2 linked regions of the Macaca fascicularis genome follow. The protein of the gene in region 1 purifies or fractionates together with the protein of each later gene. This does not show direct contact. Links are inferred from orthologs where the notes say so. Each region holds a gene or a part of one and is shown in the gene's direction. Other genes may lie near its edges.

Evidence for each region.
Region 2: the proteins of MAP3K1 (region 1) and AXIN1 purify together in Homo sapiens (affinity purification with western blotting; 5 studies listed by BioGRID and IntAct, with this or other methods). This does not show direct contact. The link is inferred for Macaca fascicularis from reciprocal best matches to the Homo sapiens genes MAP3K1 and AXIN1.

Annotation. Positions count from the first base shown.
Region 1 is NC_088380.1:62,328,885-62,333,410, forward strand, and holds the end of MAP3K1 (mitogen-activated protein kinase kinase kinase 1), read left to right. Parts: intron 1-1,387; coding exon 1,388-1,537; 3' UTR 1,538-4,025; downstream 4,026-4,526. UniProt on the Homo sapiens protein: Component of a protein kinase signal transduction cascade. Activates the ERK and JNK kinase pathways by phosphorylation of MAP2K1 and MAP2K4. May phosphorylate the MAPK8/JNK1 kinase.
Region 2 is NC_088394.1:1,039,816-1,044,323, reverse strand, and holds the end of AXIN1 (axin-1), read left to right. Parts: intron 1-11; coding exon 12-119; intron 120-1,663; coding exon 1,664-1,831; intron 1,832-3,038; coding exon 3,039-3,165; 3' UTR 3,166-3,830; downstream 3,831-4,508. Other genes in the region: PDIA2 (protein disulfide-isomerase A2), read right to left, coding at 4,152-4,196, 4,319-4,429. UniProt on the Homo sapiens protein: Component of the beta-catenin destruction complex required for regulating CTNNB1 levels through phosphorylation and ubiquitination, and modulating Wnt-signaling.

The DNA of each region.
Region 1 (4,526 bases):
AATGCACTTATTCTTTGACTCAGCTGTGCCCATTGTTAGGAATTTACTCAAGATTATGTCTAGAAGTACCAAGAGTCAAGTTCAAGATTATTCAGTCTACTCAAGAAAGTAATTAAATTATCCACACTATACAGAAATTAAACAAGTGTAAAGCTGTTGATGTTGATTTACAAAGTGCTACAAGATTATATTATTAAGTGAAAAGAGCAAGGTATATAAAGTGATCCTGGCCAAGTACAGTGGCTCATGCCTGTAATCTCAGCATTTCGGGAGGCTGAGGTGGGAACAGAGCTTGAACCCAGGAGTTGGAGAGCAGATTGAGCATAGTGAGACCCCATCTCTATTAAAAAAAAAAAATTAGCTGGGCATAGTGGCACCACCTGTGCTCCCAGGTACTCAGGAGGCTGAGGTGGGAGGATCGCTTGGGCCCAGGAGGTCAAAGCTGCAGTGAGCCGTGTTCAAACCACTGCACTTCAGCCTGGGTGGCAGAGTGAGAGAGAGACCCTGTCTCTAAATTAAGTTTTCTCTTTTGTAGACATTTTAGAAAATCTTAAGTCTGTGAATGTATTGGCCTTTTTTCTCCACAAACACACACACACACACAAATCGTCAACAGTAAGTTACATTTGGGGAGAAGGAAGAGGGACTTTAATTTTTTGTTTTGTATTTTTCCTTTTTGTGGTGTGTAAGATGTGTATATATCAGCTGAGTATATTGTGATACAGGATCACAGACCTTAGAGGAATTTTCTTTATATTATTTTGCATTTTTTTAACCCAAAGCATTTATGAAATTACTGGGATAGAGAAAAGAAAGAGTTTTCTTGTGATTAGGAGTGGGTAGGTGAGTTTAAAGTAGTCAGACTGAAAACTTTTTTATAAAATCATTCTTCATAGTGTATTTGATACTAAGAATCAGAATTTGTCCAACATGGAAGGAAAAAAACAATGCAGTTGTGTTTTCTATGTATTAAATTGACTCTTCAGTTTTAGTCTTTCTTAATCTAAATAGCTCTCTCTGCTGAAGAAATAGAAAACGTGCAGTGAGAACAAACCATCTTGGAGACTATGAGGACAGCAGAATCCATTTGAGTGAATACTTCACCTGAACATTTTGATGTACTTAGCCTTGTTGATTTAAATAATAAGGAATAGGATATATTTGATCAAATCCTAAAATCCTAAAAGTTGAAAGACTGTTAGAGAAAACCTCCCATCCGGTGGATGAATCTTTATAGACTTTTTGATAACAGAAAATCCTCCCACTTCTGCTTCATTTCTCTCTGTTCAGGATGTAAATGTAAGGGTTATGAGGTCGATGCACATGTGCTTGTGTATCAGAAGTTCCAGTCGTGCAAAGCTTCAACACTCTGGCTTTTTCTCCACAGATTGCTAGTGCAACGACTGCTCCATCGATCCCTTCACATTTGTCTCCCGGCTTACGAGATGTGGCTCTTCGTTGTTTAGAACTTCAACCTCAGGACAGGCCTCCATCAAGAGAGCTACTAAAGCATCCAGTCTTTCGTACTACGTGGTAGCCAGTTATGCAGATCAACTACAATAGAAACAGGATGCTCAACAAGAGAAAAAAACTTTTGGGGAACCACATTGATATTCTACTGGCCATGATGCCACTGAACAGCTATGAACGAGGCCAGTGGGGAACCCTTACCTAAGTATGTGATTGACAAATCATGATCTTTACCTAAGCTCAGTATGCAAAAGCCCACAACTAGTGCAGAAATTGTAAACCGTGCCTTTCAAAGAACTGGCCTAGGTGAACAGGAAGACAGTGAAGTTTGCATGACTAAATTGCAGAAGCATAATTTTATTTTTTTGGGGCACTTTTTCAGCAATATTAGCGGCTGAGGGGCTCAGAATCTATTTTAATATTTGAATTATTCTTCCATTTCATATAGTGATCACAAGCGGGGGTTCTACAATTCCGTTCAGATTTTTTGTCACTGGCTATAAAATCAGTATCTGCCTCTTTTAGGTCAGAATATGCTATGAGTAGCATTACATACATATATTTTTAAAAGTTGATACTTCTTTATGACCCACAGTTGGCCTTTATTTTCTTAAACACCTGGGCAATTGTGGCTCATTGTGCATTTTACTGTTGGCCCATTCATTTCGTTTTTGGAAATTATGGTTTTGTATTTTCATTTTTATTTACATTCATTTTTGTTTATTCAGGGAAAGGTGATCTTTTTTTTCAAACCAGAAAAAAAAAAAAAAAAAAAAAAACTAGGTATGAACAAGAGTTCATTAAATATCTTGCTATTGTAAAAGTTTTTAAAATACAGACTTAATTTTGTTTTTTATATTGGAATACAATAAAGTACTACCTACATTTGAGTCAGTCACCACTTTTATTGTGCAGGTTAAATATAAACTAAAAATTAACTGTCCTCTGTGATGCAACTCACAACGAAGATCAAGATTACCTTAAAATTTATTTGAATTTTTTAAGATGTTTTGGTTGTCAAACTGTAGGAAACTTCACAACATTTAAGTCTTATTCTGTATGTAACAATCCATCATTCACCTTCACTACTGGTAATAACATATGACTGCCATTTTCCTTTTACCATGCATCATCTCTTTACAGTAGGCCTGGCAGATCATTTTTAAAAAAGATTATTCAACTACCAATCAGTAATGTTTTTTAAGAATACATTTGCTTTGAACTTGGAAAATGTGTTCAGAAAGAAAAGTGGAATTGAATTTCATTTATACACTAATTCCTTGGATTTTGCACAGTTACCTAATGGTTTTAGTCTGGAGTTAAATTCAGATGCATGGAATCCTGAAGGAAAATGGTAGCTTTTTAATCTTTTTGTGTGTGTGTGAGTCTTTTAAATCAAATACTGATTAACTATTAAATACAACTTTTGAGATTTTAGTTTTAACTCTTCAGAAGCCAGTGTGAAATAGAATTGGTTATTCTCAAAGACTCAGGATAAACTAAATAAGCTATATAGAGTACATTTAAAATGTACAACACAAATTGGAAATACAATAAGTTACAAGATAAGTTTACAGGGATATATTGCTTATAATTTTTAAAAGGCAGTTTGTTTTTTATGTGAATATGTTTCTTAGTGAAATTTTACATTCCTTTGTTTTGGAAGATTGGCGATATTTGAAGAGTTAAAAATAGTACAGAAATGTGAAGTTTGGTAGCTCTAAATGTGTTGTACTTGACTTTCTGTTTTATTTTGTGTTTTTTTTTTTTATTTTTTATTTTTTGACTACTTAGAATTTCCACAATTCTAATAAGATTGTTTCCAAGTCTCTCATGTGCAAGCTTTAAAGGATGCACTCTTGCCATTTTATGTACTGGAAGATCATTGGTCAGATGAATACTGTGTCTGACAAAAATGTAAACTGTATAAACTGAGGAACCTCAGCTAATCAGTATTACTTTGTAGATCACCATGCCCACCACATTTCAAACTCAAACTATCTGTAGATTTCAAAATCCATTGTGTTTGAGTTTGTTTGCAGTTCCCTCAGCTTGCTGGTAATTGTGGCATTTTGTTTTTTGTTTTGTTTTCAATGCAAATGTGATGTAATATTCTTATTTTCTTTGGATCAAAGCTGGACTGGAAATTGTATCGTGTAATTATTTTTGTGTTCTTAATGTTATTTGGTACTCAAGTTGTAAATAACGTCTACTACTGTTTATTCCAGTTTCTACTACCTCAGGTGTCCTATAGATTTTTCTTCTACCAAAGTTCACTTTCACAATGAAATTATATTTGCTGTGTGACTATGATTCCTAAGATTTCCAGGGCTTAAGGGCTAACTTCTATTAGCACCTTACTGTGTAAGCAAATGTTACAAAAAAAAAAAAAAAAAATCTCTGGGTTAAGAAAATTTGGCTTAAATGTATCCTTTGTTATTTTAAATATATTGAGATATTTTAATTAAAATTTTTACCCCATTGAACCGATTTTATAGTATTTGTACCTATTTTGGTGTTTTTGTCTTTATAGTAAATAAAAGTTTTTGAACAAATGTTGTTACTTTTATTTATTTTGAAATAATTTCATACTTATATAAAAGTTGCAAGAATACCACAGAGAACTTCTGTATACCCTTCACCCAAAGACCCTAGTCAGGTTTCGCCAGCTGCCCATTTATGTCCTTTATAGCAAGAGGATCCAAACCAGGATCACAAGTTGCTCTCAGTTGTCATGTTTCTTCAGTCTCATTGAATCCAGGGCCATTCTTAGTTCTTCCTTGACCTTAATGGCCTTAATTTTTTAAAGATTTCAGATTATTATTTTATAGAAGCCCCTCAAATTGAGTTTGTCTGGTGCTGCTTCTTAATTAGATTCAGAGTACACACTTTTGGCAGGAACATCACAGGTGATGCTGTGCTCCTCTCGGTGTGTCATGTCAGGATGCAGACAGGTCGTTTGCCCCGTCACTGGTGATAACTGATAGTAACACTGTATAGTTACTCTTTCCTTTTATAATTAAAATCCACCTTTATAATTGAAAGTATTTAGGGGC
Region 2 (4,508 bases), on another chromosome or scaffold:
TTGTTCCCTAGGTATGTGCAGGAGGTTATGCGGCGGGGACGCGCCTGCGTCAGGCCAGCGTGCGCGCCAGTGCTGCGCGTGGTACCAGCCGTGTCGGACATGGAGCTCTCCGAGACAGAGTACGTGCGTCCTGAGGGTCCTCCTGGTCCTGCCCACCCAGCCCAGGCGTCTCAAGCCAGGTCCCATGGTAGAGCTGCCGTCCTGGGGCCTGAGCTCAGGTACCACGCTGAGAAGCAGCTGTGGCAGGAGAGGGTCCCACGGCATCAGACTCCAAGCTGCCCAAGAGCCTTCTCCCGTCTCCATCAGAGGAGATGCTGACTGTCCAGCATGACGATAAGTGACCAACAGGCCCGGCTGGAGGCCTGGGCACAGCCAGCCCTGTATCCACACAGGTGTCATGGGAGGCCCCTTGTGGGGCAGAGACCTACCCCTGCCCCTGGCCCCACCCGGCTTGGAACTGGCTGGTCCCCGCAGACCTGGCTTGAGCAGGGTCGGGGCTGCAGGTGTTGAGGTGCGCGAGGTGCGTCAGCTTGCAGTGTGGGTCTCAACTATGTGCGTCTGTCCAGTCCGTGCAGTCCGTGAGTCAGGGCTCTGCTCCCACCTGCAGTGCTGACCACTCCGAGCCCGTGAGAAAGGCTTACTGTGTCCATACCACGTGATCCCACATGGGCTGTGTCAGTGGCGCCTTTGTGTGCTCAAGGTGGCAGGAGGGGCATATCCCAAAAGGGGCCTTGAGAACAGGGGTCCCCCAGGCCTTACCAGGCTTGCCCCAGATGCAGGTTTGTTGTGGCTGTCATCCTCTAGGGGGTCTTGGAGGGGCCTTCACCCGTCCTTGGGGCAGCCCCCACATGTTGGCTCATTCTCCTATGGGCCTGGCTCCAGGGGGCTGCAAGGATGTGGCTCTGGGAGAAAGTCCAAGAATGCAGGTGGGTGGGGGCCCTGGTGTGCGAAGTGGACGGTCACCTGGCTGAGGTGGCCGTGAGGCCTTCCTGCCATGATGTCGACTCTGGCAGCCTCTAGTGCACGCAGCCAGCAGGAGGCCCGAGGCCTGAACCCCAGTGGGCCAGGGGCAGCTTCTGGAGTCATCTGAGGGACAGGTGGTGGCAGGGGAGCCAAGCAGAGGGTGTGAGTGGAAGCACAGCCCCTGTAAGAGGAGGGCCCAGCTCAGCCTGGGCAGGAGACGGTGCCAGCCCCACCCCCTCTGAAGGGCCTGCTGGCCGCACCCGCAACAGTCCTGGGACAGACTTCACTGTGGGGTCAGGCTCATCCAGAAATCGTGCATAGTTCTGTTTGTCCAATCCCTGCCCTTGAGATGTTTTTAAGGTTTGGGGGCCGTAGGTCTTCCTGGCATAGGAGCCATGCAGCCTGCCCTGCCATCCTAGAGGTGAGAGCTGCAGTGCGCCCAGTGGCCAGGCCCTGTCCAGTCGAGGGTGGGGCTGTGAGGCAGCGGGGAGACCTTTGTGCTGCCAGTGAGTGGAGTCAGACTCCACTGCTGGTGGAGTAGACCCCAGATTGAGATGCTGCGGCGGGGGGGCAGTGGGGCCTGGGGCCCCAGGTGTTTGCAGGCCTGCCCCACCCTTTGCTGGCAGCCTGAGGCCAGCAGGAGGCACCCTGTGGGACCTCAGTCCAAAACCAGGGACCACTGCTGCATCTCTTTCCCCAGGACGAGATCGCAGAGGAAGGCGGGCGGCGGGAGTGCCCAGCCGTGTGACAGCATCGTTGTGGCATACTACTTCTGTGGGGAGCCTATCCCCTACCGCACCCTGGTGAGGGGCCGCGCTGTCACCCTGGGCCAGTTCAAGGAGCTGCTGACCAAAAAGGGCAGCTACAGGTGAGTGTGAGGGCTGGGGTGCCCACTCCCTGCAGGGGTGCGTGGGTGCCCAGCAGTACGAAAAAGAGGGTTTCTAGCCAGGCATGGTGCCTCACTTCTGTAATCCTGGCATTTTGGGAGGCAGAGACCGGCAGATTGCCTGAGCTCAGGAGATCGAGACCAGCCTGGGTAACATGGTGAAATCCTCTCTCTACTAAAAATACAAAAGAAATTAGCCAGGCGTGGTGGCGGGTGCCTGTAATCCCATTTACTTGGGAGGCTGAGGCAGAATTGCTTGAACTCAGGAGACGGAGGTTGCAGTGAGCCGAGATCGCACCACTGCTCCCCAGAACTCCAGCCTGGATGACAGAGCGAGACTCCGTCTCTATCCAAAAAAAAAAAAAAAAAGGCTTTCCGGCTGTTTCAGCTCCTGTCCCTCATCTGCACCTACGCCAGTTCTCCAAGCCCTGGGCTGAGGATGGCCTCAGGCCTTCGGCCCCACAGGACTGAGAGGGTCCCTAAGGGACTCCTTCCAGGGCCCTCAGCTTCGGGGTGAGAAAACAGCCAGAGGCCCAGACAACAATGGTCTGAACCTTGTGTCGGGCTCCCCTGGGCCAGCCTTGTCTCTAGGCTCTGGATTCAGCTCCTTTTGCCCAACTGAAAAGCCAGGCCCCATCCTACCAACGTTCATTGGGCCTGGGCCCCTCAGCCCTGAGGGCCTGCCTGCAGCCAGTCTTGGAGGCTCCTGAGTGAGCACTGGGGGGTGAGCAGAGGGGGCCTGACCACAAGAGCCTGGCAGAGGTGGTTCCCTCTGTCCACAAGCGACTGCAGACACCCGTGGACTGTGTCTGCAGATGTGGTGCTGAGGGAGGGCCCCAGTCGGGGTCACTTCCATGACAGGGCTCAGCCCTTGGGAAGCAGATACCCCACACCCATCCACTTCCCCCCTGCACCTCCTGAGAGGCTGGGGCAGGTACTCCTAGGGGGCTGTAGGGTGCCTCCCAGCAGGCAGTAAACTCACCCCCTGTAGCTGCCACTTCACCCACATGCGGTCATTGCACTGTTCACTGTTGCCCTGGGAGGGGCGCACGTGGTGGGAGTGGTGGGGGCGGTGGGGCATGGACAGGAGGCTCCTGGGGATGGGGGTGTGGACACGCCGTCCCCGCCACAGGCCTCCTCCCATCTGCGGCACTGCCTGCTCACTGTGCTCCTCACCTCCATCCTGCAGATACTACTTCAAGAAAGTGAGCGACGAGTTTGACTGTGGGGTGGTGTTCGAGGAGGTTCGAGAGGATGAGGCCGTCCTGCCCGTCTTTGAGGAGAAGATAATTGGCAAAGTGGAGAAGGTGGACTGACCAGCTGGCGGGCTGACCGCTGCACCAGGCGAGGCCCTCGGTGGGCACAGGTGTCACAGCCAGGCGGATGACCTCGTACTCAGGAGCCCGATAGAGAACAGCGTGGGGGCGCCGCCCACCCCTGCAGTCTGACCGTGTCTGGGTGGGTAGGGGTCCCTCCGCGTGGTCCACAGGCTTCTGTCCTGCCCCCGAGGAGGCAGCCGGACACTCCCCATAGCAATACTTGGAGGGCCTAGCCCAAGTGGGGCAGCCAGGGTCCCTGCTGCCGGCTTCAAGCGACGCCCCGGCGCCTCCCCTGGGCACGTGTGCTGGGATCTGTTTTTCCCTCTGGGATTTGCCCACGTACCCTGGTCTGGCTGGGCGCAGCCCCAGGCCTGGGCGCAGAGGCCTGCAGGGCCTCTGTCAATTGTACTCGCCACCGAGTGCCTTCAACACAGCTTGTCTCTTGCCTGCCACTGTGTGAGCCGGCGACGGGGTACTGCACCTGCCTCCAGCTGCCGGCTGCGCGGTCCCGGGTCCTCCTTTCTGAGGGCCCATGTAAATATGTACATTTCTCAGGCCAGGGCCAGCAGGGGCTGCCCAGGTCTGTTTTTCATGCGATGACACTTGTACAATTATCTTTTCAAAGGTACTTGGATAATAAATAAAACTGTTTTTGAACCTGCCCTGGCTGTGGTGTGTCTGCTGCCAGTGGGGCCTGGCCTGGGTCTCCCAGCCTCAGCCCCTGTGGTTAAGGTCATGCTGGCCTCCAGCAGGCATGGGGGTCGTCCTGTGACTCAGAGGCTGGCCAAGCTAGAGCATGAACGTGCTCCACCTTCCTTCCCAGGAGCCCGCGTCTGGGCAGAGCTGCATCAGGCCAGCCTTGCTGAGGGATCAGGCACACACAGTCCAGAACCAAGCTCTTTATTCACAATGCACAGCTCCCTCCAGCACCCAAGGAGGTGCCCTCCTGTCCAGCGGTGAGGAGGGGAGTGACACGGGGGTAGCTACAGCTCCTCCTTGGACCCCACGGTTGAGTTGGCCCGTGGCTCCTAGAACGGGTCACAAGTACAGCTCGGAGCTCTGCTCCCAGCCTACCCCTGCCCCCGCCCCACCAGCCCCGTGTAAAGACGGTTTGTGCAGAGGCCTGGAGCCCTGGCTTAGGGACACCCACCGGGAACGGGGCTGCCGGCTCCTCCGTGGGCTCCTCCGTGGGCACCGCGCCCCCGTTGTCCAGGAACTTGGACAAGGTCTCCAGGTCCCTGGCGCTTTTATATTCAATCACCTGAGGAGAGGCAGGAGGCTCTGGAGGACAGGCCAGGCCCAGCCCCATGCCCAGGAGGATGGCATCCCAGCTTCCCCAG